3 linked regions of the Cricetulus griseus genome follow. The main gene of each other region encodes a partner of the protein of the gene in region 2 in a complex. Links are inferred from orthologs where the notes say so. Each region holds a gene or a part of one and is shown on either strand. Other genes may lie near its edges. The genes, in order: contactin-6, Ptprg and Cntn4.

Evidence for each region.
Region 1: the proteins of Ptprg (region 2) and contactin-6 are in contact, whole or in part, in a crystal structure (PDB 5E5U), measured with the Mus musculus proteins. The link is inferred for Cricetulus griseus from reciprocal best matches to the Homo sapiens genes PTPRG and CNTN6. Residues at the interface, in NP_033007.2 of Mus musculus: Val225, His226, His227, Lys229, Phe288, Thr290, Gln292, Gln293, Asp294, His295, Val296, Lys297, Ser298, Val299, Glu300, Tyr301; in NP_059079.2 of Mus musculus: Arg129, Val132, Arg135, Gln138, Gly139, Val140, Val141, Leu142, Leu143, Cys144, Gly145, Met222, Gly223, Tyr225, Glu226, Pro227, Lys228, Glu230, Leu252, Asn306.
Region 3: the proteins of Ptprg (region 2) and Cntn4 are in contact, whole or in part, in a crystal structure (PDB 3KLD), measured with the Mus musculus proteins. The link is inferred for Cricetulus griseus from reciprocal best matches to the Homo sapiens genes PTPRG and CNTN4. Residues at the interface, in NP_033007.2 of Mus musculus: Lys222, Val225, His226, His227, Lys229, Phe288, Thr290, Gln293, Asp294, His295, Val296, Lys297, Ser298, Val299, Glu300, Tyr301; in NP_001103219.1 of Mus musculus: Thr128, Arg129, Ser130, Val132, Ser133, Arg135, Gln138, Gly139, Met140, Val141, Leu142, Leu143, Cys144, Gly145, Val219, Met220, Gly221, Glu222, Tyr223, Glu224, Pro225, Lys226, Glu228, Leu250, Asn304.

The regions. Positions count from the first base shown.
Region 1 is NC_048601.1:39,518,612-39,529,973, reverse strand, and holds part of contactin-6, read left to right. Parts: intron 1-5,532; 5' UTR 5,533-5,566; coding exon 5,567-5,708; intron 5,709-11,362. UniProt on the Homo sapiens protein: Contactins mediate cell surface interactions during nervous system development. Participates in oligodendrocytes generation by acting as a ligand of NOTCH1.
Region 2 is NW_023276807.1:170,271,230-170,281,725, forward strand, and holds the end of Ptprg (receptor-type tyrosine-protein phosphatase gamma), read left to right. Parts: intron 1-4,987; coding exon 4,988-5,123; intron 5,124-5,604; coding exon 5,605-5,751; 3' UTR 5,752-6,447; downstream 6,448-10,496.
Region 3 is NC_048601.1:37,944,387-37,955,748, forward strand, and holds part of Cntn4 (contactin-4), read right to left. Parts: intron 5,193-11,362; coding exon 5,017-5,192; intron 1-5,016. UniProt on the Homo sapiens protein: Contactins mediate cell surface interactions during nervous system development. Has some neurite outgrowth-promoting activity. May be involved in synaptogenesis.

The sequences.
Region 1 (11,362 bases), on a different chromosome or scaffold from region 2:
AAAGTAATACCTTGAGGCTGGTAAGACGGCACAGCAGTGAAGAGTATTTGCCACTCTGGTAAAGGACCAGGGTATGATATGACGTACCCACATGGTGCTCACAAAAGTCTCTAATTCCAGTTTCAATAGATGCAACATCATTTCTGGCCTCTCCTGGCACTTAAATATATGGTTCACACCCATGCATGCAGTTCAACCACCCTTACACTTAAAATAAAATTTGTAGAAAGGAGGTATTACTTAATTTAACCTTAAATTAACTTAATTTAAAATGGACTATATAAAATATAATTAATAAAATGTTTAGGATTACCATATTTGAAATTATGGCTTGAGTATTTAAAAGCTAATTCAGGTGATATAAAATGTAGGTAAAGTTTCACGGCATAGTATCTGAATGCCTACAAGTTTTTAAGTTTGTTAAATATATCTTAAATCAGTAAAGTATATTTTTAAAATTTATTTTTTGCATTAAGTATAAAAGTATGAGCAACCGATTGTAAGGACAGGTTTTTAGAGCATCTATGATATAAATAATGAATATGTTTAGGAGTTCTAAAAGTGCTAAATGGGTTATGTTCCCTAGGTATTTGTAAACTAGAAAACAAAAACAAACAATTGAGCTTCTTATTTCTAATCTTTAAAAAGCGATTCAAAACATCCCTGTATTTACATAATAAACTCAAAAGCAAGAGAGTTTGGAATGGGAAAAGAATTAAATTTATAATGCCTAAATGCCAGACTCAGACCCAAATTCTTTGATAATATAACAAAGGGCAGTGGTATTTCATGCACTGTATTCTAGCTGTACAATGTAAACACATTGCCATTTCTGCTTACATTTGTGTTTTTTTCTTTTTACAATTTAGTAATAATGATATTAAAGTTAGATTATTTGGTAGAGTGTACACTGGAGAAAAGGTCTTTATTATTAAACAGTCCAAGGTTATCCAGGTTATGTAGGCAAAATGAGAAACAGTTCAAGAGAGCCTTATATTAAAATTAAGAATTATCTTTTCTTGTGGAATCTCTTTCTGACAAATAACTGCAGGAGGATCATTTCTCCTTTGAGTAAATACTACCTCCTCTTTGGTGTGACAGTGGCCTTCCCTACACAGTATTTTTTTTTTAATCAGTTGCTATAAGATTTTTGTTTTGTTATTCTAGTCAGGATCATAGCACCATTTTTTCTAACTTTTTCCTTTTTGACCCAAATGCACTGTTACACTGATAATTTTGTGGGGAAAAAGTTGTTTATATTATTGTTGTTCTGTAAATTATGTATAGTAAATTGAATCTCATGGGAGGAAAGAGCTATCTTTAAAAGTAGGTCTTTGGAAATAGTTAAGGAATAACTTGAGTAAAGTCATTTTCAGTGAAATAAATGCCTTTATAAACAGGAGCACAATTAAAGTCAAAAGCCAGGATGGATTTCCTGTATAGTTTCAAACCACAAGGTAATAGAGCTGAGAAAGGGAACCAGTCAAAAGGATAAACAAAGGGACTGGGCTACACAAAACCAATGGTGAGAGACAATTGCCAATCACTAGAATACTGAGGAAAATAAAATAGCAGAGAACTTAATCCCAAATATTCTTTTTTTCCCAAGGCCAGACAGGTGTATTACTGAGTTTGAGGCCTGGCCAGTCTACAGAGTGAGGCTCTGTCTCAAAATAAATACACAGATACTTAATTAGTTAGTGAATAAAACATAAAATGGAAAGTAAAATATTCTTGACATATGCTAGTAGTATCATCAGTGTACCACAGCCAGGTAATTTCCAGCACTCGGGAGGCAGAGGCAGACAGATCACTGTGAGTTCAAGGCCAGCCTGGTCTCCAGAGCGAGTGGCAGGATAGGCTCCAAAGCTACACAGAGAAATCCTGTCTCAGAAAAAAAAAATTACCAGTGCTGAATTCTGGTATCTATTGATAATTACTCATAACCAGGAGAGAATTGAGCAACTCATTAAATGCTAGCCTCTCCTAGAAAATGAGGGAGTCAAAAAAATGGTAATCTTGAGTTGGGCTTCCGTGGAGCATGCCTCTAATCACAGCATTTGGGAGGCAGAGGCAGGCAGATCTCTGTGAGTTCCAGGACAACCTGATCTTCAAACAGGGTTTCAGGATAGTCAGTAAATTCTCAGGTGATGTTATTCTCTTCTCATAAGTTTCTCCAGTTCCTGTTAAAGACTTCCTGCAATCAAGCCTGGTATACACTGTGAAAGTTTTATAATAGAAATACACAAGGATGCACAGGACAGTAATGGGATAGCAGACAAGAGGGCTCTTTTCCTGGAAGGAACAGGTTCAATTCATTCTGTAATATCTGCAGCAGACAAACTTAGAATGGAGATTTTCATGTTTTCCTCCAGTGGTCTGGGGCTGGACTCAGATGTAGGTGCCTGTAAGAAGGACTTAAGACAGAGAACCGACTTGTGAGAAATACCACACAAAGACATACATGGATGTGCATATTACCAAGGACCGCAAATAGAGCTCCCAGTCATATTGTCCAGTCAGGTCTCAACCACCTAATTATGAGAGATATTCCTCAGTAAAAGAATTTTTCAGTTCAAATTCATCACATATTCTAAAACTAATATGTTAGTTCATATGCTAAAGTATTCCCTCAACACACATCTTCTAGTTTGTATCATAGGAAAATTTGCTTGGATATATAATGCCATCAGTAAAGCATGTCTGACAGCTACTGTAATGAAGTAAAACTATTTCTCCATTTATTTAAGCATATTAATTAGGACAAAGCCCACACCCAGAGCTGAACTCCTGATCTATATGCACAGTTTAATAATCATTGTACCATAGTGATTAGAATGATTACGGGGCTACTGTGAAAAATTCATTTGCAGCAGCAAAGCCAACAACTTTGAATTTGTGTTGAAAAACAATTACTGAGCTTAATTAGGAGCATGTAATGATGACAGCAGTTATTTCAGTGATTGATTCCAAAATTAAAGAGAGCTGGCAAACTAAGTATGGTATACCCTTCTCTTTGAAAATGATAGCGAACACAGAGGTCTGAGACCATGCCCTGCAAACGAATTATGAAAGACAGTTTGCAGTGAGAGCAAGGGGAATATTGGTATCTTGAGACGGGTCTGTGGGAAGGAAAATGTCCTGCTTTTTTGTTATAAGAGCACAAACAAGAAGCAGTGTGTACAAATTACTATTGAAAAAATTGGTGGGAAACCCAGTCTGTATAGATGGACTCTTTGATGGCTGCTGTTCATCTTTGTTTTATTAAAAAGAGGTTAATATATGTAGGAGGGGGGCAAATCATTTTGAAGTTGGTTCAAATCCTCTTGTTGATTTGATATTTGAGCCATCACTTTGTATCTTTGATAATAGTATGGAGGAGTGCAAAATTATGTATTTCTTTCTGTTTTAGTAGATATTAGCCAGATTTTTCACCAATGAATCTGTCACAATGCTGTCCCCCAAATCAATGGTATTCAAAAGAACTTTGTAGAATGTCATTCTTTTCTCACAACTACCCACCTTAACAAAATATTTTAAACACAATTTCACAATGAATGGAAGAATCATAACAAGGCTGACACATGCCCTAAACGTATGGTTTGAAAACTGGGTATGTTATGTAGGAGGAGGCCATTTGGTGGTAGGCTCAGGTCAAATTACCCTAAAGCAGTTGTTCTCAACCTGTGGGTCATGACCCCTTTTGGAAGTCAAAGGAGCCTTTCATAGCAGGGTATCTGAAAAAAAAAAAAAACAGATATTTACCTTATGATTCTTAACAGTTGAAAATATGAGTTAGAAAATGACAACAAAAATAATTTTATGGATGGTGAGCACCATAACATGAGGAAATATATTTAGGATACCAGAATCAGGATGGTTGAGAACAACTGCCCTAAAGCCTGGAAACAATAGCAGAAGCAGAAGGTCTTTCCCATCTCCCCCTTGCCCTTCTATTTTTAAACTAAGAATAGAGTTTTCATTTCAGAAGTTAGTTCCTGGGGACCCTAAGCAAAAGAACTTACTTTTTCCTGATGATACATAATCCTCAGTCCATGTTGAATTTTCACTAACTCTGAACATCAACCTTACTTGTTATTATTATCCTGACAACTGGACATCCTTAAATAAAGCCAGCACTATATATATACATCGGTCTGTAAATGGGAATTTTGTTTCTGAAAACCCCAATGTCATGGAAAGCTATATGGAATGTCTGTGTGTGTGCTAATGCACAGTTATAGACCCTCAACAACAACCCTGACAATAAATGAAGAGAAGTTTGGCTCTTTTATCTTTTTTTCATCTCTACAAGTGCAAGTTATGATTAATTACTTTTAAATTCCAATTTCCATAAATAATTTATATGACTACATACAACTTGTAACTTTGAGATATATCTCATTAATGTGCAATGTTTATAATTTAAAATATGAAGTTGGGAGGTTTCCAGATAAGCAGTGAATCCAGTAAGATGGGCTAAGTTTATATTTTACTGATCTTGAACTGACCAAATGGAGTCTTCTACAGGTATTTCTGCTTCCTTCCAAATAGTGCTAATGCCCTGGAATATGTAGATAATTCTAGTACTGAAGGATTGTTAGTTAGCTAATCTGAGAGATTTTGACTTCTTTAAAAAAATGTTCTCAAGCTGTATTTGTTTTGCTAGCATATAATTTTAGGTTGGCTTTCCTAAGTGCCATTGAAATATTTTCAACATGATTAATTTCCAAGTGGCAGACTCACAAAAACAATCACATTTTTAAGCTGTCACATTATTATTGTTTTTTTTATCAGCCTTGAATTGGTATTGTCAGACCATAGCTGGCATTCTTTGTGCTGGATATAATGTAGCCTTCTTGGGTTTATATCTCTAAATCATTTCTGACATTCAGTTTTGCAGTGTCAAATATGGGGATTCAGATACGGTATACATTATTTGAAAAGTCTCTAAAGAAATAGATGTCAGAATTATTGACTGCTGTCTAATTCTATTTGCCATGTTAAGAGTTCTCATACATTTCTTGTTTCATGTGAGTTAGTATTTGTAACTTATGAAGGGTAATGAGCTTCCAAACAACCTATCAGATTGTATCACTGCCCCCAGAACAGTTGTATTTGCCAGGCTTGGTAACATAGCCTTATAATCTCAGCTTGTGGAAGAATAATACAAGAGGATTGCAAGTTCCAAGCCAGTCAGGGCTTCACAGTGTGTTTGTAGTCAGCATGGGCATCTTGGTAAGAACATGTCTGAAGATTAAAAAAATAAATAAAATGACTCAGTATATGTAGCCCAGTGGTATAGCACAGAGGTGAGAGTGTGTGAGGTTGGTCCTATTTCAAACTCCAGGACTACTAACAAAAACAACACTCTTGCCCTTAATAAAACTACAGATATCACCCAACAAGTGATCATATGTTTGGTTTGTTTTTTTTATGATTACAGGAATACAGACAGTATAATTTTTATGATAAATAGTATTCAGTTCTCTATATTACATAAGTAATTTTATTTCATTTTTATCCTTGAAGGTGGAAACAAAATGGCACAGATATTGACTTCAGCATGACTTATCACTATAGGTTGGATGGAGGCAATTTGGCCATCAGCAGCCCCCGCACAGATCAAGATATTGGCACATACCAGTGTCTGGTCACCAACACTGTGGGTACCATTCTGAGTAGAAAAGCAAAGCTACAGTTTGCATGTAAGTTTTCGTGAAAATTCCATATTTAATATATTCTGGAAAATAGTCTGGTGATGTTGGGCCAAAAAGGTAGCCTTTCCAGTATCCTGCTCTTTAAAATCAAATAGAATTTTATGTGTATAAAATTTTTTATTTTATAAATCTAGGTTCCTGAGGATAATGGAAATCTGTTATGTTTTAGGTAGAAAATATTTTTTAAATTGTGTATTGTGTAGTATTCTTAGAAACATCTCTAAAATTGCCATATATTAATACTAAGCCCATATATCAAGTGTTGCCCCTTCATTTTTTCTTTTGTATAAGGTATTAGTGTGAATAGCACAGGAAAGCAACCCAAGGCAGTGGTGTCATGTGGGGCAGGCGGTTGATTCTCTAGGAACAGCAATCATACACCCACAGTGAGATGTAGGTGGAAATAAAGTGGTTGCCACAGGCAGGCTTTATATTAACTGTAACAATGTCCAGCTGTATCACATAAATGTCATCCAAGTAATTACCTTTGTGACATTTGGGGACATTAGCAGATGAACAATAGACACTGCTTCTTATATCCTTTATATATAGTGTTTCCAGGAACTAAAATGCTTCATATTGGATTCAATGAAAGCCTTGTTTGAGAGTAATTATATCTCACAATGTGGACAGAGTAGAAGGCTTACTTTTCCCCCTAGTGTCACATCTTGTACTAGATAACCCAGGGAACCAGAATATTAGTTGCTTCTGTTCGGCGGCTAATGGAAATGTCTGTGATGTCTATAAATTTCAAAAAACCAAATTTAAAGATTTGGCTTAGAAATAGTGTCTCATCCTACCCTGAAAAAAGTACTTTAGTCATCTGCACTTATGTTCTTCTTATGTTTCAAAGGTTATTCAGTGTTTTTATTTGAATGTCTCTATTACACTAAATAATGGTTCTTAACTTGGGATTCATATATACACATACATGCATTTTGATCATACTTACTTCTTCATTCTTCTATTTTAGTCTCCTATACTACTTTTGCTCCCCTTTCAGTGCCAACTAGTTCTCCATATGTTTTAATATCTCTGCTTATAACATAATTAGTTTCATTAGTATTGCTTACATAAGCATAAATGATGGCTTAGTCATACAAGCATGACAGCTTATCAGTAGCTATGCAACTGAAGCATATATAACTCGTTCTTTACCAACTACCATTTGTCTATAAACCTTCAGGGAACTTTGGGTCTGTGAACTGTCCAATGTTGTTCAGGGTTTGCATAGAAAATCATAGCTGACCAAAGTTCATGAATTCAGAAGCAATGGTTCAAGAGTTCCACAGCAAGAAGTCAATATTTGCATAATTCTCCATGCCTTCCTCTGGCTCTGACATTCTATTTGATCCCTTTGCTATCATGTTTTTCGAGCCTTGAAGAGGGTGTGATACAAGGTGTCTCATGTATGGCTGAGAATTCAACAGTCACTTAATTCTCATCACTTTTACCACATGTAAGTCTTTACACTTACCACTGCCCATTGTAAAACCTTTATCCAAAAAAAAAAAAAAAAAACAGTCAGGAGCACATAACTAGGTATATAAATATAATTAATTGAAGGGAACATTGACAGAGGCTCCCTATTCATTTAACAAAACCACATCAAGAGTTTCCCCGTCATGGCCTATGACCTCCTCATTCATCCTGGCTTTTGACTGGGTTTACAGTACCAACTATAAATTCTTTCCTGTGTAGGAAGTCTCCATTCCAATTAGATAGTAAGTGATAGTTTCCATAGCAAGCCCACCATTATTGGATCAGGGAGCACAGGTTGCCTTACAAATCAATAGCTTGGATATAGGGTCCACAGCTGATTATCACGGTGAATGAGCATTTTCTCTCAGCAGACAGGATAGTATGATCAGGCACTAGACGGATGGACAGCATACAGTGAACTTCCTGCCCAATTCTAGCTTGATTTCTCAGTCTGGCAAAAAGAGTATGTGGTTTCTCTTTTAGATAGGGTGATACTTTCCACATTCTTTACTTATAATGTCTCTGTTGAATGGATGAATAATAATAAAGTCAGATATTTCTGGTGTCCTTGTTTTATAGAATAGAAGCTTAAACATTAAACAGATTGTGACTTTCCCCAGGGTATATTGTTATCAAACATATTTTAATTTAATTTTATTTATTTAGGAAAAGCAGAACTTACTTAAAATGAATGCTCCTGAGATTGAATAGGAGAGACCCCCTTACAACACTGTCCACACAAGTCATGGGAGCCAACTTTCTTTATTTCAGCTTCAAATAATGCAATTTATTTTCTCAACAATTTTCTAAATGAATCCCTCAAGGCAGTAAGCTGTGTAATGAGCTTTGGGGTTGGTATTGTAGTGCCTGATGTACTACATGTGTCTCTTCATGAAGGAGACATCCAAACCCAGCTATGCAGTTTGCCCCTTTCTGTATTTAATTCTCCAGATTTCTCTCAAGAATGAGATGAAACCTAGAAGATATAAGATACACCTACCCTTACTCTATCCTTCCCCATTTCTGTCTTCTGTGAGCTTCCCCCCAATCCATCTCTTCTTAAAATTTTAATTGACTTTCCCTGATTCAGAATTACTTTAAAAAAACTTTATTATTATTTCCAACATTATTTTTGTCAGCACAGTCAAGTCAAGCGACTAAGTAGGACACTTACAACCATGTGTGTGTGGGTTTTTTTTTTTTTTTTTTTTTGGTTTGTCAAGACAGGGTTTCTCTGTGGCTTTGGGGGCTGTCCTGGAACTAGCTCTTGTAGACCAGGCTGGTCTCAAACTCACAGAGATCTGCCTGCCCCTGCCTCCCGAGGGCTGGGATTAAAGGCATGTGCCACCAACACCTGGCACCATGTGTGTTTTTAATTCATTTTTCTACACATTTTATTTATTTTTAGAAGTTCATACATGAGGTGAAATTAATCTTATTCATGTAAATCTCTGCCTCCTGGATTTCACTTTGAAGCATCCCCAAGGAAGGTAGAAAACATCTCAGTAAGATTTTTTTTTGACATTGATTTTCTCACAGGTTAAAGAATTGTTCAGATGCCACAATTAACCCAAATTTCCCAAGTTAGAAAAAAGGTATGCATCAAAATACAAATGTTTGAACTCTTGTTTATTGTTTTCTGGAAGTTTGTTGTAGCATTGATTTGTCAGACAGAGTGACTAGACTTCTAAACACCCTACATTGTTTATGTGAGGTTTTGCAGTTATATATTAGGTAACTGATAGCATTTGCTTATAACTTTTATCTTGGTTGTAGCAGTCTGATGGAGCAGACTAAGTTTGTTTTAGATATGGCCAATAATTTTCTGCCTAATGACTTATCTCAACATGAAACCTTCTTGACAATGTGGCCCATATGTAAAAAATTTCATACTATAAAATAGGGCATATATCTTTAATTTTAACAGCTCATTCACTTCTCTGTTTTTAAGGCATGTCTTGAATTATTGGATCACAAAAGTCCCTGGCCACCTTTCTTTAACATCGGATTCTCATCCTTCTTTTGTCAGGCATATTATAATTTACTCCCACCTCTACCCCAGCTGACCCAAACTTAACTCTTAAAAGGAAGTTTTGTCTCTTATCACCTCTTATCATTCACACCAGCATTTCTGAGTGATAAATCCAGCTTGGCTCTTTAATTCACTTGTAGCTGTTTGGAATTTTCTTTTATTTCTCAAGGACTTTGGTGGTAAATGTTACTGGTGGATTTCCTGTGTATGTTAAGGAATTACTTTGTACTCCTATACTCCTGTGGGGCATTTCAATGTGTGTCTGCCATTTAAAATACTGTCCCTGAAAAACTGAAGTAGGTGTTTGGAAGGAAACCTGTAATTTCACTAAGCTCTGAAAGATTGTATTATATAGAACTCTGACAATGAATACACAGACACTTGTCATTAAATCATGGATAAAACTTTTGGATTCTGCTGTACTTCATATTTAATCATGGATGATATTTCTATTACACTTCTTCTGTCAGTGCAGAAGTAAAGGTAGCATGACAGACTTCTAATTGATTTTAGTTTTATTCATCTGGCCACCACCTGCAAATACTTGGTCTTATATGTGTTAATCATAGTGATAGCATAAAGAGATTTAATGTTAGAGTTAATGCTGGCAGGTACCTCCTAATTTGAGAGTGCAAACAAGTTCTTAAGTACAGTTCTAAACAAAACAATATAAAAAGAAAGCAAATTTCCTGTGCATAGTAAATACTATTGAAACTTTTTATGTAAATTGAGTATCTTTTTCATTATAGTATAGTCTCTGATAGAATCAAAATCTCCATTTCAAAAGGGGATAAAGAATTGTTTTGCCTGTAACCACACAAAAATGAATAACATGAATGATATTCAAACATATAGATAGTGGAATACAAGATTCCATATTTCATGTACTCTGCACTGCCTCAAAAAAACTTATAAGGTGAAATAAAAGGTGGACTTTAGTTAGCTGAACAGTACACTGAACAGGAAGTAGTTAAGTTCAGAGAAAGAACATAGAATGTTATCCAAAGAAGTGGCTTTATTTGAGCATTGAGATACAAGTTTCTGTTCTTAACACAGAAGCTAGATCAAGTATAATATTAAAGCTCTACATGAAAAGGGTGTGATCAGGACTACATGTTATGGAAGAGGCAAGGAGAGACAGATGTGGCTGACACAATGAAAGAAACAAAATGCTGAGTTGGGAAATGAGAGTTGTTCTTGACTGAGGCTGAGAAAAAATTTTCCTTGCTAGGGGATGCCCTTCTGTATGCTGTGAATATATGTTTCTGTTATTGGTTGATGAATAAAGCTGTTTTGGGCCAATGGACAGGTAGGATGTAGCCAAGCAAGAAATATAGGTGGGGCAACCAGACTAGGAGAATTCTGGGAAGAGGAACAAGGTGGATAGAGGGGGGGTGACTGGGAGGGAGACACAATGTAGCTACAGGGAAGATGGGATGCCCTGGCATGCTCCGGTTAGCCAAGAACATATGGAGATACTCAATTAATAAAAATGGGTTAATAATTAGAGAGAGATAGACAATAAAAAGCCTAAGTCATCAGCCAAACAGATTATAATTTATACAAACCTCTATGTGTTTATTTGGGACTAAATGACCATGAAACTTCTGTCCATATTTCCTCTTTGTTCAGTGGGACAATTGAATGGGACTGTGAGATCCTGACAAAACTTGGGAAAGTTAAATTACAATGTAGTGGACAGTCACACCAAAGCAAACTGCCTGTTTTGGAAGATCATCTGCACTATAACATTGTACTCAAAGCTAATACATGTGTAAAATGAGGGTGATGACATTGCTCACTTCATATAACATGGATAGAGGATTAGGTATTTAATACACACAGAGAAGAGGCCAAGGGCAATGGATAGATTGTTGTTAGATGAATATGGCAAGGCAGGCAGAAGCCTCACCCTGTGTTTTTAACACACCAGAATTTTATTTCATTATTCATTCTAGCACCAAGTATTTGACTGATGTCCAGAATTTTGAAGTTTCTCATAATTTGAAGTGCATCAGGCCGTTTCCTTGGATATGTTAGCTTTATTTATTAAAATTGTTAATACCAAACCTATACCTATTAATGGGTGTCCCATGCTGTAGTTCATTTAATTTAGGTGGTGAGATTA
Region 2 (10,496 bases):
ACACAGTCCAAGTACTTTGGTGTTTTTCTCTAAACAGCACTAAACCAGCACTACTTTTAACTAGAGAAAAGTGGTAAGCTAATTTCGGGAGCCAGTGGATGTGTAACTACTGTGTAATGTAGCCTGTAAGAAACTGAAATCACTTCTGCACCAAGTCCATGGAGCAAATATCATTCAGTCCTAATGTAATGCATAAAGTTCTAAAAGAGAACAGTCCTTATTTCCTTCAACCTTCTTTTATTTCAGTGTTAGATATGTAGGTACAATTGATTTTAGTTTCTAGGTGTGCTTAAACCTTGCTGTTCACATACTTCTGGGAAGTGTGACATTAAGGGCTTTCCTCATGTGTGAACATCACAGTTGTCCTTTCACAACTTAGAGACAACTTAGCCCACTATAAACTAGGCCAGATGTTACAACTACCATTTTGTGTTTTCTGTCCTTGATGAAAATGCTAAACAGTGTATGTATTAAGAAGGGCTAGGCCGGGCGTTGGTGGTACACACCTTTAATCCCAGCACTCAGGAGGCAGAAGCAGGCGGATCTCTGTGAGTTCAAGCCAGCCTGGTCTCCAGAGTGAGTGCCAGGATAGGCTCCAAAGCTACACAGAGAAACCCTGTCTGGGGGGGGGGACAAAAAAGGGGGGGCTAGTGGTGGTAATACCTGCCTTTAATCCCAGAACTTGGGAGGCAGAGGCAGGTGAATCTGTGAGTTCTAAGCTAGCCTGGTCTACAAAGCGAATTCCAGGACAGCAAGGACTGTTACACTGAGAAGCCCTGCCTCAAACCCCCCCCCCCAAAAAAAATCCTCACAAAGACTGGTCAGTGGTAGGAAATGCAGCCATCCCACAGAAAGGCTAACATCCTCCCACATGAAAGCACACTGGACAAGCAGAACATGGTCATCTCACTGTTCTGTCTGACTGGCTTGAGCTAATCTTTAAGAAGAGCTAAGAAAATAAAGAGGGGAATCCTGAGTTTAATCATTTTATTAGAACCAGTTAAGTAAAGGTTAAATTGTTTCCTTCTTAAAACCAAGTCAGTACAAATTTTTTTTTTAATAAAATAAGGTCAACTTAGTGTAACTTAGAATACAACAAAAGACAGCACAATGAGAAAGGACCAAAACAAACACAAAAAGTAAACCAAAATAGAGTCATCATAGTGGATATTAAAAGTATATATTTAGAGAACTAATGAAGAGTTTTATGAAACAATTACAGACATACTATGAGCCAGTTAACAAAATTAACACCTAAAAATGAAAAATACTGCTATTAAAAATGAAAGAGGGGTCAGGCAGAGGTGGCACACACCTTTAATCCCAGGACTCTGGAGACAGAGGCAGGTGGATCTCTGTGAGTTTGAGACCAGCCTGGTCTACAAGAGCAAGTTCCAGGACAGCCTCCAAAGCCACAGACAAACCCTGCCTCGATAAACCAAAAAAAAGAAAGAAAGAAAGAAAGAAAGAAAGAAAGAAAGAAAGAAAGAAAGAAAGAAAGAAAGAAAGAAAGGAAAGGAAGGAAGAGTGATGCTATGGTTGAGGCTGATATAGAACTAGCAGAAACTAGGCGTGGAATCTCTAACATGTCTAGGAGTTGATGCAGAGGGAGATAAAACCCTAGCAGGAACACCAGCTAATGTTTTAGAGATAATGAATCAAGTTCCAAACTGAGCTGTTTGAACAGTAGCATTTAGAGAGACTCTGAATAGCACAGCTTTACCTAATGTTGACAGAGACACATGTGTACTCAAGGGGTACTATGTGAGAGACAGCCTGTGGAAACTCAAGTGGCTTACCTATAAAAAGTGACCAAAAATAGAATCTCAATAAATCACTACAAACTAGATACAAAACCACACTCGTTCATCACAACACATTAATACTAGAAATCCACAGTTAAATAAGATTCTAAATCCTATTAATGGAAACTGAAGTTCTTACATGTGAAACTACTTTTAAATAATTTATGGCTTAAAGAGATAAACAAGATTGAAACTGCAAAATAATACCAAATGATCAAAGCATTAACTTTCAGAAAGAACCACACTGTACCTCCCTTAAAAAGTCATAGCCCAATCTGCATTTATTGAAGTTTGGAAACAACCTTGGCCTTCAGTTTTGAAAGCTGGGGGGAATAAACAGATAAAACCACTGAAATACAGGTAATTAATGGAAGAAAACGAAGGGAATGAAGCGGGAGCAAAGACAGAAAGTGTAAGCAATAAATAGACCTGGCCTAATGAAAGATGCAGTGGTGATATCCAGGGAGATGACATGCTGCTACATTCCCAGCTCGGAGGAGACAAAGGTAGGAGAAGCAGCAGTTCACAGCCAGCCTGGACACCACAATGACAAGTTGTCTTTAGAGGGGAAGGAGGAGGCTGGGAGTGAACCCTGGATACTGTCACAAAGAAGACAATTATAGAAGGCATAAGTTAAGAAGAAAAAACTTCCACTTAAAGACATCTGAGAACTGTTTGTTTATGCTTGTTCTTTTAGGTTCTTAGCATTTACAAATTACTTATAAAAGCTAATTATCAATAAAACATCTCAATTTACTTCAGGAAGAAACAGGTAGAAGACTGTCCACAAGCTGGTGATTTGTGTAGCTGAATGACAGCTACACACTGGTCCTTTTGAGATTATACTTCTGTGTATGTTGAACACATTCACTGATTAACAAAAAAACCTAGAAATACATTTAAAAGAAAATAAAGTAAGTGAGACTGTTTACTTGCAACATTATGTTAATAAACTTTAAGCAAAGGTAGTAGATGATGTTTACATGATATGTGCCCATCTCTTTTCTAAGCCACTTAGATCTGGAAGCTGAAATGTAGCCATAGTCTCGCTGTAAGACTCGTTGGCCAGTGACTTCACCTGAAATGCCTCTTCAACATTAAGGGACAATGACCGCAGAATTGTCTCATAGGGAAGAATCACTCTGTGTATGTAATTATCTAGAGAGAACATAGACCACACAGTAGTGATTACCAAGAAGTGAGTGTGAGAGAGAGAGCCCTCCCCAGGCCTGGGTCCCCAAACTCTCACTGAGGCTACCTCGAGATAGTAACAACACAGTGAGAAGAGCACAAACTGCATTCAAAGGAAAATGCTAGCACCAGAGTTGCAATACACAGGCTAGTCCTATACATTTGACAATCATGAGTAAAATACCATCCAACAAAATCCAATATAAAAGGAGTTACATATTGTAAGAAAATAAGCTTTATTCTGGCAATATAACACTAATTAAATAGTATCAAAATGTGTTGATGAACTCAAGACATTTTCAAAGATTTTTTTTTTAAAAATCAACAGATAAAAATAGGTAGAAAACATCTATAATAAATAATGGAATAAAATAACACCCCTTCTTAACCCCACCAATATCTTCAGCAAACAGAACAAAGAAAATAAGCCATCATCCTTAACCAGTTATCATTTATGAGAAGCCTGTCACACATGCTTTTATTTTTTTATTTAAAACTTGAGTAGCTTAACCATTAAAGACCATAAAAAGCATGCCTGCTTCCATTGCTGGCACACTAAACATTTCAGGGTTTAACCAAGGCAGTAAATACCAAAGACCAGAATAAACATCAAGAGGCTAAGTCCACCACCTAGAGAGCCTACAAATTACTCAAGAGTTCTGCTGTGTAACTGTCTGCATGCTCACTTTGTCAGCATAATTAATGTCTCTATACATCAAGTGTGAAGGTGCCACATGAGGCCATTCTGAGGAGTAGCAGGGACTCCATGGACCCTGGAATTAACCTAAAACATGATGTGCAAAGATCTAGAAAGAAACTCCAAAGCCCAATTGACCTGCGTAAATGTAGAAAAGGCATGCTATTTTTGAAGAGAAAAACTAAAGATTGAAAAGGCATGGCTTTCCTCAAACTTATCTATATATTCATGGAATGTAGCAAAAACCCTAACACTTTTTGTTCCTTGATAGTCTGGTTCCAAAATCACCATAAAATGGTAGAGTGGAACAGAAGGTTACAGGTATTTTGAAATAAATATGAAATGAAAATTTGCAGTACACGGGTTTAAGGATATGGCAGCAGTAGGCATTTATAACCTACCTATACTTGAAACATGAAAAATAAAATTAGAAGATACAAAAGAAAATCTTTACAGGCAGAATTCTCAAAGCAGAATTCCTCCTGCCCCAAATAAAAGATGACCTTAATTTACATCTGAGCTGAACTGTATTCCAGGCAAACAAAAATGATCATAAACAATGTTTATAAGAACTTCAGCTTTACTGTAACCTTATAGGCCCATCATAAATGTAGTCTTTGGTTATCCAAAACACCATTATGCAGTGGAAGGGTTTTTTTAAGTTCAATTTATCTGATTAAGTGTTGGAGAGATGGTTCAGCTATTAAAGGCTACAGTCACAACCAAATGGACATTAGATATGCTTAAGATTATTGAAAGTGAGGGCCCTGCAGCACTTTCTATTTATCTCACCTGTTGTAATATCTCTTATCCAAAATCAATTCTGTAGTGTTTACAAGTCTACTTTTTTTTAAAGATTTTATTTATTATTTATACAACATTCTGCTTCCATGTACATCTGCACACTAGAAGAGGGCACCAGATCTCATAACGGATGGTTGTGAGCCACCATGTGGTTGCTGGGAATTGAACTCAGGACCTCTGGAAGAGCAGTCCGTGCTCTTAACCTCTGAGCAATCTCTCCAGCCCCCACCCAAGTCTACTTTTGAACCTTTTGTTTCATTTTAGACATCAAGCTGAGCCATTTTTCGAAAATGGCTTTGGGCAAAAATGTCACCTCTATGTAAATTTGTAGATCCCTCCCCCTGTCTAAAATTTAATTCATTCTGTCTTCTGGAATAGCCACCAACCCAGCCAACTTAATTCTTAAGAAAATATGTGGTGGTACTTAACCTCCCGCTACATGTAGTCCATTCATACATCTGAAATCACATCTTTCTTTTCTCCTCCCCAGGTATGGAGCAGTTTCTGCAGGAATGCTATGTGCCCTTACCACCTTGTCCCAGCAGCTAGAGAATGAAAATGCTGTGGATGTCTTCCAGGTGGCAAAAATGATCAATCTTATGAGGCCTGGAGTATTTACAGACATTGTAAGTAGTTTGCATGTGTGTCAAACCTGTCAGATGATCCTCAGATCTGTACTACAGACCAGGGGTTCTCCACTATGGGTGTTGACCACGAGACAGCTGGCAATATCTGGAGACTTACTGTTTTTCACCACTGGACAGAGGTTCTGTGGCATTTAGTGTGTAAAGGCCAAGCTCACCATGCACAAGATAACCCTTGCCAACACGGAAATATCTACCCCAAAATATCAGTAATGTAGTTTAAAAAAAATTCTACTCATGAGTAGAGTGTCTTATGAGCCACCATCACTGAAACAGGTTCTGTGCTAAGACCAGAGGATATGAAGAAGGCATAGAGCTCAGTGATTCAAGTGGTTGCTTTTAAAGTTGAATAAAAATTGTTGCTATTCTTGTCTCTCTGGGCATGGTTTTTAGAAGTATGTTTTTGAACAGTATTTGCATCTTTGATAAAATGTCTAACCAGTTATTCACACCTGTCTTCCAGGAACAGTACCAGTTTGTCTACAAAGCAATGCTCAGCTTGGTCAGCACTAAAGAAAATGGAAATGGCCCCATGATGGGGGACAAAAATGGTGCTGTGCTAACTGCAGAAGAGTCAGACCCCGCTGAGAGCATGGAGTCTCTGGTGTGACCGGACCCCTGGACGGGCACTTAATTTGTAAACTTCTGACACTTGTAAAGACAGAACTTTTTTGAGGCCTTTTTTGCCAGACTCTAGGTTATACAATAACCCAGTTACTTTTTTACACTGATAAAAGTTTTGATATTTATTTTTTGCCATTTTATGTCTTAATGGTATCCTACTGAGCATTTGCACCTGTTCATTTCACACAGTGAAACGCAACTTTACCTAGTTTGCACTATATGATCAGTGTTACTGCCTATAATCTAATCTACAGCAAACCCTGATGTGACATTCCATGACAACATACATGCTACTATTTAGTTCTGTGCAGTGAAGGTCTTTGTTATGACAGTGAATCTCAGTTTTGTTATTATTCTAAAGCAATTGCATTTTCCTAGCAGGCAACACTGTACTTTTCTCAGTTCCCCTCTATTTTTTTTTCTAGGCACTGTTCAATACTATATGCCTTCTGTTACCATGGAGTGGATGGGCATTGTTTCCTTTTACAGGGCAGGAGGTTAATGGGAGCCCATAAGAAGTCTGATAATGTCCATTCCATTTGTCATGGTTGAGGGATCCACTAAGAAGTTAAGAGGGCTTAAGAGTTGCTTCATGTGAACATCTCTTATTAGTTACCGAGTTATATTCACAGTTGAAATGTGTCAAAATAAAGAATCATTCTGTATTACAGATTTCACAGTAGTTATGTGGACAGTGTGTGTTATTTCCATTTTGACTCTCTGAAGTAGCTACACCCTAAAATAGGGGCTGGCTTTTATAAAGGAAAGGTGGCACTATTTCATGCAGTTTACTTATGACCCCTTTAGTTAACCCCACTAAAACTTTTTGGTATCTAGTACCATACCTCACAGTAGCTACAGCAACGGAAAATAATAGGTATTTAAACTTTCTTCCTTTATTTTTTTTTTTGCCAAATGTTTCATAATAAATCTCTTAATTACATAATACTCTACTTAAGATTGAATTTGAAATATATTTGAGACCAAATTCCTACAGATGAATCAGTCTTATTTGGAGAGATAAATTTGAGTCTTAAAGAGAAAGTTCAGTTTTTGAATGAAAGGTAACGACGTCTCCATTTTAGAGCAGGTTTTGAGGAGAGTTGTGGATATTCACGAGCAGATAGATGCACAGCAGTAAGAGCTGACAGTGTTCGGTAGTAAGCCCTAGGTCCAGGTGGAGCTGCTTGTGACCCATGTAGTACATAATGGGAAAACTGGAAGCATTACTAAGAAGTTTCATTTGAGTTGGTTTAAAACAAAACAATACCCATTAAACTATTCACCAAAATCTGTATCTTCCTTTTCATGTCTCCTTTTGAAGGTCAACTTCTGTCAGACTTGAAATCATCCCCCAAGATTGAACCCCCATGAACAATGGGGTTTGGCTTCCTTATTATTCCAGTAAGCTTTACGATGAGGCCATGTGGCTGCTGTCACTGTTGAGGCAGCATTGCAGTGGGAATGTGGCTTTGTTCTTCTTGAGTTGTTTGTCTGAAACTAGTCACAGAAGTGCTGGGGAACCAGAGCTGTTAAGGAGAGGGTCCCAGGCCAAGTTAAGAGTTTCAGTGCATGAGCCAGGCCTATGAAGATAATTTGTGCAGACTAACCTAAGCTTTTGAACACACAGAGAACTGAGAGTCTGTCTTTCAGGAATGGTGACCTGCTAAGCAGAGTCTGTAAGGTGTCTGTGCTAGATAGCACCCTAGGCACATTTACCACACACACACACACACACACACACACACACACACACACACACACACACACACACACACACACACAGAGCCCCATCAGAGGTGTCACCCTGCACAATTCAAAGAAGGACTAACCATGGATACAACTCTCAGGGCTGAACGGAATACTGAAGGAAAAAGATTCAGATCACAGTAAGAATTAGAGATCCCTAGCCAGTTAAGCAGATTCTTTTTGCTGTACACAGATCTGATGCTCTTCAGTTAGATGCTCAGTGGCTCTGCCATTTGGGATTAACATTCAAGTTGGAGTTCATGGTCTCCCAATTTTCTCTTAATAAAAGTAACTGTTTAGAAGACAAATAGCAAGTATTACTTTCTGTGCTATTCACACAGGAAATTCAATTTATGGAATTACATGCTCCCCACAATTCTGGGACTATCTCTTACACAAGTGAGAGAATAAGGAGGAAAGGGGGGTGAAATAAGTAGGACAGAAATAAAACCAAGGTGGGTTGAAAGCTCTCTGTGGGAAGCCTACACATCCATCTTACTGGACTATGAGCAGTTGCTAGGTGACCATTTTGCCAAAATGGTCCACACATCCTTCACTGAGGAGAGTTACTTTCAGCCATCCTCAGTCCTCACTTTCACCACAATATGTGTCTTCACTGTTCTTTGCTGTTGGCAAAAATATTTTGCATCTTTCCAGAGGCAGAGAGTTCCAAAGATGTTTTCTTTGAGACATAAGCGCATTGCTTAGGTACATACTAAGGGTATAACCACTTACAGTCAAGGGGAAGGGATACAGCTATTGCTAAAGCTAATGTGCAAGTTCCTAAAATAAGCTGTTTGCATGTGTGATTTGCCTCTAGGGCACAAACCAAACAAAGCTGACTTGTAAAAATTAGATCAGGTGGACACGCTGGACATCAAAGATGTATTAGAGACATCAGAACAGTTTCTTGTACCCCAAACTATAATACCATCTTTAATGTTCCTTTTTTAAAAGTTACCTTCTGAGTTTTGAAACTATTTGAGAGCCCGTTTTGAATAGAAGAGTCCAGCAGGGTCAAAATGAAGTTATAGTGTTCAAGATGAAATAAGGATTATGGTGTCCAAGGTCTGGTGGGTAGTTTTTACCCCAGAGTGACAATGAAATCAGTAAATAACCTTAATTGTCGTATAATGACACAGCACAACTGCCTTCTCATGACTTTTCTTAATTGCATATATACTATATTTAAAAGTAAAAAGTAGATACCAATTTACCAAAGATACACATTACTAATTCTAAGCAAAAAAATAGAAACCCAAACACATCGTAATTTAAGAAAAAAATAATCAAAATGTAGTTGTCTTAAGGCTTTTGCAGTTACATTGGAAAATGCATTTTTCAAATCCTATGTCCTAAAATTTCTGTTCAAATGGTGCCAGTCAATTTTTATATGAAGGGAAGAATGCCTGCTTTTTTTTTTCATAGCAGCTGTAATTTCACATAACCCTTTGCACTTTCCCTTAGTTACCACTTAACACACAATATTGGCTTTATTAACACACAATATTGGCTTTATTTATCTCTAGAAAGAAGGCATGGTAAATAGACGAAATTATAATGACATTTGGCCTCTACTTTTGTCTTAGCTGTTAAAATGTTTTTAGTATTTTTGTTAAATATTTGCAAAGGGAAGCATTTTCTACAGAGGATAATTAATTTCAAGAAAAATATCTTGAGTTTTAAGAAATAAACATCTCCAGAAAAGGAGACAGTCAATTTTATAAAATGTCGTAACTCTCCAACATTTGGGGTAGTGACTCCTTTTTTGTTAGGACATTTGAAACTAGCAAGCAGCCATTGTTTCTACAGAGCCCCACTTTCATGTCGACTCGTGTTTGTTTCGCTTCATTTTCAAATAGCTAAAATCATTAAAATTGTAAATATTTTGTTGCTTGAGTAAGCATCTTCTTCGAACTTTGTATCTATGGTATATAATCATAGAATTTTATATTTTCATATAAAGCTAATTTTTTTCTAGTTTCAACTACGTCATAGTTTTCGGTTTTGTTTTGTTTTTGTGGTGGATATGTGAACTTACGTGTACTGAAGTAGCAAGAACCATCTTTGCATTCCAATTGAATCCAACCTGTGTTCTTCCTTTGAGGCAGTGATTGTGAAAGTCGGGTTTTCTTTTTAATTCCATTGACCATTAGTGCAAAAGCAATTAGACATGACTAGTCACTGAATACATTTGTCACATTGACTCATTTTGGAAAAAGTGGATTTTTTTTTTAAAGATTTGTTCCGTGGGGACGGGGGTTTTATAACCTGAAATTTTCCCTTTTTCCTTCTGTTTTAAACTATATCAAATCATTCTATTATAGTGTTATTTAATATGTAAATTGTATTGCTATACATAAAATAAAGTATGGTTTTTGATGTACTTGGTAGTATTGAGCATTTCTATGAGAATTAGATCCGGCTTTCCTTTGTAAGTAAGTCACACTAACACTCAGTAGCCCTCCATCACAGTGTTCACTGTAGTAAATGAATGTTAGCAGTCACCTTTACAAGCAAAGCGACATGCTCTTGCCAAACTGATTCCTGATATTCTTCTTCCTTTCACCCCAAGAAAACAAGACCAAGTCTCACCAGTGTCAAACAGCCTCTGCTTTGTGATTGTCCCTCTGGCATCTCAACCACACTGGGGACAATTTCCTATCTTAATGTTTACTGACTAGTATAAAGGGTGGGTCACAGCAAGACCTTTGTAGAAACATGGAGTAGACATAGGATCAGTACAAGTTCTTCTATGTCAGGACATGGCTTCTTAGTTTACCATTCTGTCTCCATCCCCCAACGAGCGCGTGCACACACACACACACACACACACACACACACACACACACACACACACACAAGCCTGTCCTTAAGAATGCGTCTCTTCCTAAAGTTATACCCCTGGTGACTCTAGTACACTGTACCGGTGTATCACAAATCAATTAGCTATATAGATCCTGGTCAGACAACAGGAACATT
Region 3 (11,362 bases), on a different chromosome or scaffold from region 2:
AAAGCTAGCTCAGAACTAAGATCTAAGGGCTGGACTTCCTTGGCTCTGGAAACTATTAACTATGTAATAAAAATGAATAGTTCATTCATTCCAATCTTCACTTTCACTTTTATAAGGATAAAAACTAGGAAATATATAAAGTCCCTTGGCCATAAAATCCACTTGATTCAGGATGAGGGCACAGGCTCACTCATGGTACAGGACAAAAAGTGTAGTCAAAAAGTAACATTAGTCTTCAAGGATTACACAAGGCTCTAGGAAAAACTAACTTAAAGATATTTAAAGAACATAATGCTTTACTTAAATTTTATTTATTAAATACAGAATGACCTTTCACTTCAACCAATTGAAAACGATTGTTGAATACCAGTGTGAATGAGAATTCCTCAAAAGAGGTTGTATATACCAAGAATGATTAGCTATAGTGATGTGAAAATGTTGAAATGTTGTAGGTCCAGAACCTAATTATCTTATTGGTACTAGCGTTAGTCCCCAGAATAGCCAATCCCTTCCCACATATGTATAGGAACTAACATCCTATAACTAATAAATAAAAACCTTGTGTAATATATTAACGTTAACAGACCACTAGCTGCCACCAATCCCAAAGCTAAGAATGTCATCACATAGCACATTAGGCTTATAAGAGAGATTTCTCAATTTTTTGTTATACCCTTTCTGATGTTTTCATTAATGAAAATTGCCTTGATTTCTAACTTTGTTCATTGCATTACTATTAAAACTCCATGAAACTGCTCCCTTGTTGGAACACAGAACATAGGATGACATACAAAGAGCTATGATTTTCTGTCCATGGTCAATCAGGTTTGGCTCCAGAATAAACTTTATTCCCTTGGAGATAAGAGCTTTGTTTTTTGTGTTGACATCAGGAACATCTTTCAAGTTTTTTTTAATCTTCTTTATTAAAAAGCTAGGAAAACATCTCCTTGAAGTTGTAGCTTGATAATGAGGAATTTCAGCATTAAAACATGGTCAGAATGTAAAAGATGTGGTTGTGAAAATTTATCTTTTCTAATTTAGTTTTAGAAACATACTCATTACTAAGGGGGGCGTTAAAGAAATGTGTGCTTTCAAACAAATAACCTACTAGAGACTCTACAAATGCAGGACAGAGGCAGTGATCTTAGGTCTTTCAGAATGGAGATGATATGAGAAGAATAAAAAACAAACAGGAAAATATACAGTCATTCCAAGTTTTATCGAATCCTATAAAAGGAACAGAAATGATGGGATGTTGAAGTAGAGGACTGGAGGAAGGCAGACAGAAGAAAATAAGAGATGCTATGTAAGAAAAGGAGTTGTGGAAAATATCTATTAGGCTGCGTCGTTTCTGATACTCTGTTGCCATGAAGTGACAGCATGACCAAAGCAACTAGTAACTGTTGGATTGCTTACAGTTTCAGAGGGTTAATCCATTCCATTATGGTGGGAAACATGACAGCAGGCAGGCAGGCATGGCACTGGAGTAGAGCAGTAACAAAGGCTGGGCAGTCTGTTCCACAAACAGGAAGCAGAGGGACTGGGACTGGCATGAGATTTGGAAACCTCAAAGCTCAGCACCCCCCAAGACACACCTCCTCCAACAAGGTTACACCTCCTAATTCTTCCTCAACAGTCCACAAGCTAAGAACCAAACATTCAAGCACCCTAACCTATGAAGGCCATTCGTATTCAAACCACCACAGACACAGAAGTTGAGAGTGGAAGAGTTTAAGAAGTCAGCTAATTGAAGGAGTGGAAGAAGTGGGTACTGGGTATCAGGCAAAGCTAATGAAAGTATCAAGACTCTGGTATCAAAAGAGTAGTTTCATTTTTTTTTTTGAGAAATTAAAATAAGATGTGCTGATTTTTTAAAGTGCAGCAGAAGGCATAAAGCAAGGAAGTGGAATGATCTATTTTACATTTTCAATGATTATTCACTCTTTTATGATAAACGGCTGAAGCAAGGCTCCAAGTTGTAGAGAAACCAGAGAGGAGTGAATACTGAAGAGACAGTAAGTACATCTTCATTTTATAAGAAAATTCCCATTGCTTAAGGATAAATAGAATTTGGGGTTCAATATAGAATAATTGGCTAAATTTGCAGCTGGCCTAACAAGAAGAATGTGCAGAGAACACTAACCTAATGGTTTGACCTGACCTCATCTTAGTGAAGTTCTCCATGACACACACGTGATACCATGGTCAACACATACCAGTTATACTGGTGGAGACATAGCCATGACATTTTCTGATGATCCTGAGTTAGGAGGACAATCAATATTTAAGATAATTAAAAATGTATCTAACTTTATGTGGAATCATAACCAGGACCTCACACATGCTGGCAAGCACTCTGCCAACTGGGCTGCACCCTGACCATATTTTTTGTTCTTATGAGACAAAATTTTACTCCATGTCTTATAATCGCCAAGAACTCACTATGTAGCAAAAGGTGGCCCTGAAGTCATGGCCTTGTTCTCCTGCCTTGGCTTCCTAAGTACTGAGAGTTCACGTATCAATCACCATACTAACTTAAGGAAAGCTACCTAAACACTTCTAACACACATAGGGGTTTTGAGCCAGTGGTCTGAGCTCATCTCTAACATTCAGTCCTAGTAGATTGGGAGAGAGAGATTAACATGTCCAGCAGCATTTTCCATACCAGGAAACACATAGGTTTGGATTGGGTGAAAGCTACTCCCACCTGCAAGGAAGGAATTTATAATGTCCCAGAGATACCATTATTTTGGAAGGAGAGGTAAAAAGAAATATATTCAAAACAATTTCAAATGAGATAGAACAAAGGATTACTTCTGAGAAAGGGACATATAATCGAGGAAAATACTATATTCTGAATTTAGTTTAATAACATGAAATATTAGATAAGCTGTAAACTAACAATAAAGTTATACTAGGAGACTAGCACTTTTTGAAAATGAACAGTATGACCACTATATTTGCTGTAGTGGAAGTTCATAGCATGGCTACATTGGCTTCTAGTGTCCTTTGCAAAGGTCACAGCACATGTAAAGACTTGTAGACCTATCTATAGGGCCATAACTTCATAAATGAATTTACACAAGAGTCTGTTGTCCAGAAGATAATTGCCCATTAAATACTCAAAGGAAAGATAAATTATGGGATAAGATATGGTTTCCAGACTAACTAGTTTCATGCAGTAAGAACTGGAAAGGGGCTGGAGAGATGACTCAGCAGTTAAGAACACTGCCTGCTCTTCCAGAAGACCCAGGGACCATTCCCAGAACCTACATGACAGTTTATACATTATATCAGTTCCAACAGATCCAATACTGTCTTCTGGCTTCTGAGGGAATTGTATGCATACAGTATACTGATACACATTCAGACAAAACATCCATAGGCATGAAATGAAATGAATGATTGTCAACAACGATTCTGATGGGTACGTATGTCACTATTGATATAGAATGAGCAAGGTGGGTTTCACATACATTAATGTGAAAATGCTTCAAAAAGTGAAACAAGGAGCTTCTTGGGGAGAACTATTCTATTCTATTCTAGTTAAATAACTATCTTTGAATATAAAATCCTGTCTTCTTAATGTGTTATATAATAAAAAGGCCTGTACTTTTATAAAAGCATACTCTTGAGGGCTGGTAGAAAAGTATTTTTTAAATATTTATTAGAAAGTCAATTTGCTGGTAATAGTATCCTTCTCCCTTTTTGTTGTTAAACGCTTGCTACAAAACCCCCCAAAAAATCAGGGTCACAGAGTTGCAATTTATTGAACCATGAAATTTCCCCCTATGTTGAACACCTACCATTGTATCATTATTTTGTTGGATAAACCTAATGAGACTCATCTGTAATTACTAAAATGTGAGTATAGATACCAGCTTGATTAAACCAGAGGAATATGCAGTTTGGTTCTGTGGCCCTTAATCAGATGTATTACCCTCCTATTATTCTGCTTACCTAAGAAAATTGAAGACTATCTCAGGAGACATATACAAACATGGAGCTCCAGAATTCTATATCTATAAAATTTCTAGAAAATTCATTTCTCAATGAGTAAAAAATGCCACCAAACAGCAATAAAAGATTAAGTGCTGAATATAATAATAGGTATATTTGATATTCTGTTCCCAGAGAGGGTTTTGTTAATGAGAATATTCTACAGTGATACAACCAACAGACTTAGTAATTATGAAAACTTTGATATTAACATACTGCTATACAAGTTGAGATTTTATACAAGGGAATATATAATAATATGCAAATACATACACCTTTAAGATTGTAGCTGAACAGCAATTCTCAAGGTGTCTATAATAGAATGTGTGCTTACAGCTTCTGCCCCTGGATTGTGATTTTCGACTCTTTATTTCTAAAACCTACTTCCCTTCACACATGCAAAGATTTTCTTTAAGTAGCAGTCTTAAGATATGGCAACTTGTTTCTCAGTGTTCTGGTTTGGTATATAAACATATAAGGTGAATAATACTGTACCCCTACTTTTCATTATTGGACTTTAAAACATTTTTTTTACTGTATGGAAGAAAGCCCAGAGAATTGTAGGCTTTACTGGTGAATTGACAACCAACCAAGCTATGCCTCTACTACGAATGGTTAAAATACTTCTTTATGGACTACGAGGTTGCTGATAGTTCAATTACCTATTCACATATGCTCTGTTCAATGTTTGTAGGTGTTGTATGCATGCATTTATTATGTGTAACCTGTAACATGTGTAAACTTATGTCTGTTTAAAGCATCATATAACCAAATGGTCATATAACTGAATGATTACATAGCCACACTATCTCAAGACTTATAAAACATACAGCTTCCCTCTCATGTTTATAGTTCATTAGTCATGTAAAATATTTTCAAAATATGAATAAAAGGTAAAATGTTCATTGCCACACTCAAATACATGAGGTCTTTCAGGAGGTACTGTTTGTAAAGTGTATTCACACAATGTACAAAATCTCAAAGATACATTTGGGGTGCAATATAATTGCTACTTACAAGCAAACTGAAGCTTTGCTTCTCTGCTTACAATTGTTCCAAACGAGTTTGTTGCTATGCACTGGTACGTTCCAGCATCTTGGGTTTTATTGGGGTTATTGATCAACAAGCTGCCTTCAACAACACTGTAGCGGAAATCCATACCAATGTCAACATCTGTTCCATTTAACTTCCACCTATAGTATAAAAATGCCAGTAGATAAAGCCTTGTAATATAAATCAATATTTTTGAATTGTCTAAAATAGATAAAAACTATGAAGACCATAAAATATCATCTGTGAACGTTTTGAAGCATGGTAAATACAAATATTAAAAACTAGCCAGCAATGGTGACATCTTAAGTACTTAGGGAGAAAGAGAGCCGTCCTTTGTGCTAAATCAAACTTTAGCACATGTCCCATGACTACATAGGATACTCTAAATAATTATTTCTTACAGGGGATAAAATTTTCCACATGGTTTACTACATCTTTCTTCAAAAAAGGACTCCTCAATAAAACGTCCTTTTTCTGTTTGGCATCCTAGTTTAAATAGGTATGTCAAGAGGACAGAACATTCCACTTTCAGGGAGACAGCAAAAGAGCTGTTGAAATTTCTGCTGAGTTCTTAACATGCCTGAAGTGCTGCAATGCAAAGGAACTCTGTTGATCTGAGATGCTTTAGGGACCAAATCTGCCTGACCATGGATCAACTGGATGATCTCTTTAGTCACTGCCAGTCAACTGCCCCAGTAAACTACAGACTATTAAATAACCAAAGCAAAGAATGTTTTCTTGTCCTTCTGTTCATTTACTGGGGTCACCTGTGCATCTGACTGTAGCAGCAAGCCCAGTAAATTAGTTTTCTGGGGACTTATATTTCAGCAGGTAAGCTTTGGTATGAATATCTACAATTTTGTTCTCGGAGTCACTAACATCCAAAGAATGAGAGCTTATCTGAGTCAAATTATCTTTCAGGATTCATGGGAATTCATATAAACTTTTGAACTAATATAATTCAATGACTGTTTTCTGATAGCTTGTGAATTACCAAGACTCTCACAGGAGCTGAAAACATACAGAAGATTATAGCACAAAGGAAATTGATTCAAATCAAAAAAGGGAGTAGAAATTGAGAATTATTCATCTTACTTTCTTAAAATAACAAGAGCCATTACCTAAATAGAAATGCGCATGTGTATGCCCACCCATTGGGCAATCCTTTATAATATCCCAGGCATTGTAGTTATGAATGTATAATGTGCTAGAATTTAAATGATAAAATTGTTAGTCTGTTAGCTTCAAATTACACACACATAGGTGGGTCGTGTGCATGCCTGCATGTGTGTGTGTTTGTGTGTGTGTGTGTGTGTGTGTCTTTTAGAGACATGGTCTCATGCCACTCAGGCTGGCCTCAAACTCCCTTGGAATTGAAATAACCCCAAACTCCTGATTCTTCTTCCTTCATCTCCCAAGTGTTGGGACTACAGACTTGAGTCAGTACATGGAACACCAAAGTCAATCTCAGAGGACATGTATGCTGGTGGTGCTCTTTGTTTTAAATTCAGCAGCGGGGAGGTAGAGGCAGGCAGACCCATGTGAATTACAAACCAGCCTGGTCTACATAGCGAGCTTCAGGCCCATGGTTAAATATAGAGACCATCTTAAAAAAAAAAAAAAAAAAAAAGAGCAGAAGGGGGAGGCACACATCTTCCAATGAAATTCCTGCCCATATTTCCAGTCAAGATGTACCATGTTTCATTAGATGTCCGGTGGAAGTTCTCTTATTCCTTCATGCAAAGACTGCTTTTGCCACAAGACAATTTACCTCAACCACTTCCGCATTCTTGCTCTCATCCATCTAGAACTTAACTGTCTAACTGTGCGCAATAAACACTTGTTGAATTGAATGGATTCAGAATTGTGTCTTTCTGGTATATATTTGAGCTGTGAGCATATACACAATTCATGAACCATGCTTGCCTCACCCAGCACCGTCATATGAGTTTACTCCCATCTGTGTCTTTGCAGTGTAAAAATCTAGAAACAGGAGGGCCAGGGAAGTAGACTAGAAGCACAAATAGGACTTAGCTTTTTATGTTTTTGTTTATAAGAAGCTGGATATTAGAAACTGACAGTGTTTTAGGGGCTCTGCAGTAATTCTCTCTGTGCTCTGACACAGACAAGAAAGTAATAAGCAATAAAGAGAACAGCCACGTTACAGCCCAGCGGTGCTAGCTGCACATGAATCTCTAGAACTGACTGCCTGCCCTACACATTTACTGTTAGTCAGCTGATCACGTCTTGGCCATAACTCTCACTTCAAATGATAGCAGAGCAATTTAATATGACAAATCTAAGAACTCAAAGAGGAAATTGCAATATAGTGTGAGCTGCAAGCAGAGTGTGGAATTTGGGAATGGGACCATGTGAGTCTTTTTAGAAGACTGGCTATGGGAATAATGACACCTCTGTAGGTTCGTCGGCACTCGTCACCTCAACCAAAAATGCCGTGCACAAAGTCCGTTCATCTACTTTATGGCCTGCCTTTACATACGAACAGCAACAGGGATGGGATTATTTAGAAAATAAAGTGCTTTATGAGACATGCGATAAAGCAGACATGGTGTTTTACTGCAATGCAGTCAGTGTTCATTCCTATTGACTATGGATTGCATTGAGAATTTCTCATCTCGTAGCATAGTGAAAAGCTCTTGAAAATCTCGCAATTTAGTTTCAGTGTTTGAGGAATCTTTTAAGTATTGGTAATGGAGAGGCAAGGCTCATTTGGAGTAAATAGATTTTCCCAGGGGGCAAGGCAAATTGGTGTCTTGTAAGCTGACTTCTCAATTACTTGGGGGAAGCACAGCTGAATTCTCTTCAGAGAGCAGGGCTGTACACAGGCAAATACGGCCACCTTGAACCTCCCCAAGGCATGTTTCCACAGAGTCTGTACAGATTCAGTGCAGAGAAACCTTCACTGTTAACTGTTTGAACTTGACACTCAGGGAGGGGCAGGTCCTTTCTGACTTGGAATTGGCTCTCTTCAGACTCAGTTGAATACAAACTTCACAGCAAACCAACTCTAACAGGGTGCTTGAAAGCCTCTTCCTTCTAGGAAGGGGTGCTGGGTGAAATAAGTAATGTCACCTGTCCTTAGGGAACTTGAATACAAGAGAAGTTGGCATGAGGCAAAACTTCTTAAATTTTCTGGGTCGGGGTCAATCCTTTCAGAACTGATGGGCAGAAACAATGAAAAGAAAAGGCTCAGTTGAGGGAATAAACGTAAAGAAAAGAGGTCAGTTAGGATGTCTTAGGAAAAACCTGCCGCTGAAGATCCCCGTGGAGCACTCACTTTGGAAATTTTCCTACTTGTTCAACCCCCTGAAAGTCAACACCAAGACTAAGAAAGTTCAGCTAGCAAGGTGTTCGAAAACACCTGATCTCTCTATTCATTCTCTTGCTCTTTCATTCAGCAACAGGGAGTTTTTAAGCTCCTGGGTCCAGACTGCTATTATGTCACAAGAAAACTGCCAGGGGGATTAAGGCAAGCACCAGTGCACTGCCTGGAATGGCTAATGCATTTGATTAAAAGCTCTCCTCAGCTTTCCCTGCAATCTTTAAAAACATAATAGGTTTCTGTTCTATGGCTTGTTTTAAATAACAAGGCAAGCCCCTATATCTAGAAACACAATGTTACAAAGGCAATGTTAATTAAAGGTCACAGTTTGGGGGAAAACAATGCAGCAGCTTGCCAAAAACTGCTGCAGAATTTGTTTTCATTTATAGCTAACATCTGAACTTACCCTTGGCTGTGTGTTCAAAGAGGGATCCATTAACTCGTCATTTATGTATCTGAGCAACTTTGTGCCTTGCATTTGTTTTTACTTTGCAGTGTGTTTTCAAATCATTAACTTAGCCTTGAATTTACTGTATTATACCCAGAAAGATGACGCCTTCTGGCTCGGTCAGGACAGGTTAGGGTTTATAGGTGATGCTCTAGAGTAATTCTTGATACTGTTCTTTCTCTTTCAACATGTCCTGTGTCAGAGGATACCTGGCATGCTCACTTTAATTAGTTGTTGTCTTCTTTCTGGAATGTTCATCCTTTCTTTATCCATGTGGCAAAGCAGTTGGCCTTTCTCAAGGACCTGCAACATCCCCTTTTTTTTGAAGTCTTCACTACATCTACCCACTACTTCTAGTTTTTTTTTTTTTTGTTGTTGTTTTTTTTTAATTCCCTCGAAAGCTGGCAGCTTCATGGGTGCCCCAGCCATGCCATGTCAGGATGCTCGCCCTTTCCATCACTCATTTCCATTCCCCAACTCTAATGTTTTCTCTGTACCCTGTTCCCCAGTATTCCCTGAGCCTGGAAGGTTAGTATAAATGTATTTTATTTACTCTTGCAGTAACTTTATTAGCATTACATTTGAGTATAGTTAAAATAAGTTACATAAAATGTATTTTGAAAGGGATCATGAGATAATGAAGACCTGTGTTTGATAAAGTGAATAGTATTTACTACTGAGGATTCCTGTGATCGCTATGGTTGGAAGCATAACCTTTATCCATGTACAATCTTTAGTTTCATTCTCATCATGTTTTAAGTGATTATTTGTCATGGGTAATTATGAATGTATCACCCCACCTAATGCTAATCTGGCCTATGTGGGCTAAAAGCTTATGAAAATTAACAGAACTAAGAGGTCCCTCTGACCTTCATTCAATTTCTAAGAAGCAGGTGATGAGATTGCCCTGTGGCAAACACCTTTCCGAAGCCAGAGTGGAATGATGAACACAAGCATCCATTGCCCTTTGCCTTTGCTGTGATTTAACTAGTTGCTTCAAGCTCCTGGTACTGTGATTTCCCATTGTGGTGGACCATACCCTTGAACTGGCAACCAAAATAAACCCTTTCTCCCCTGTGTTGCTTCGGTCAGGGTGTTTTACCATAGCAACTAGAAAAATAGCTAATCAAATATTGCTTTCTATTTGGTTACTTGTTTCTTACATTTTGATTTTGGGCAATTCTTGACCTATTCTTAATATCAATTTTTTTTTTTTTTTTTGGTTTTTCGAAACAGGGTTTCTCTGTGTAGCTTTGGAGCCTATCCTGGCACTCACTCTGGAGACCAGGCTGGCCTTGAACTCACAGAGATCCGTCTGCCTCTGCCTCCCGAGTGCTAGGATTAAAGGCGTGCACCACTAACACCTGGCCCTTAATATCAATTCTTTACCAAGGAAAATTTTTACTAAACGCATCATCCTCGGACTTTAGCCTATGGTTTTGCTCAGCTCAGTATCTTCCATCAAACACAATATTTACTATTAAAGAAGTTAAACTTTTTAAAAAATGATTTGTATTTCTCCCTTCATACTGAAAAGTCTTTCCTCCATCAAGGTCATAAATATCCATGCCTGTTTTCTTTCTTCTTTTAAAATGTCCCATTTAGGGCTTTTATTAACCTGAAGTTGATTTTTGTGTGTAACATGAAACAGTGATTCAGTTTTCTTTCTTTCTTTAACCACATGTGCAATCCACTGTCCAGGGCAAGAGTTTTCAAAGTACTTCCATTACTGTCATGAATTTTAACTTTTCTTCTTTTGATTTTCACAAGAAAGTATTCTCTTTATTATCAGGGTTACTGCAATCAATTTTATGTGGAATTACCCTCACATTGCTTTGTTTAATTCTGTCTTCTTGTAGTTCAAGTCTTCTCTCTGGGTTAATTTTTATCCCATCTCAAAGATGTCTTTTAGAATTTTCTTAAGTGAGAGTGAGTAGCCATCAAAATAAAATGTTTGTCTGCCTACAGAAATGCATATTCTCTTCTCCTTTATAGGAATTTCTAATTAACACATAAAATTTACACATATTTATAGGGAATAATTTGAAAATTTGTCATATGTGCAAGATACAATATCGAATTAGTGTACTCTGCCGTTCATGTTTAGAATGTTAAAATGAGTATTTTATTTATTTATTTATTCTTATTAAAACTATTTTTAATTTAAAAATTGTCATTACACTAATTTAAATATTTTTGAGACAGGTCCTCATGTACCCCAAGCTGACCACAAACTGCTTAGATATTTGGAGGCAATCTTGAACTTTTTTTTTATTTTTCCTCTGTAGTGGCTTGCAAATTGTGGCCTTACAGTTGTGCACCACCCTGTCTCTGCTTCTGGGTGTCAAATTCAGGGCTTCATACACACTGGATAACCACTCCAGCAAATGAACTACATCCCAGATAAGAAGAAAGGAAGGGAAGAAATTGTTTTATTATTATTGCTTATTTTATTATCCTAAGTACTGTATGTTGAATCTAGGGCCTCATCCATGCCATGCAATTATACCATCACAAGT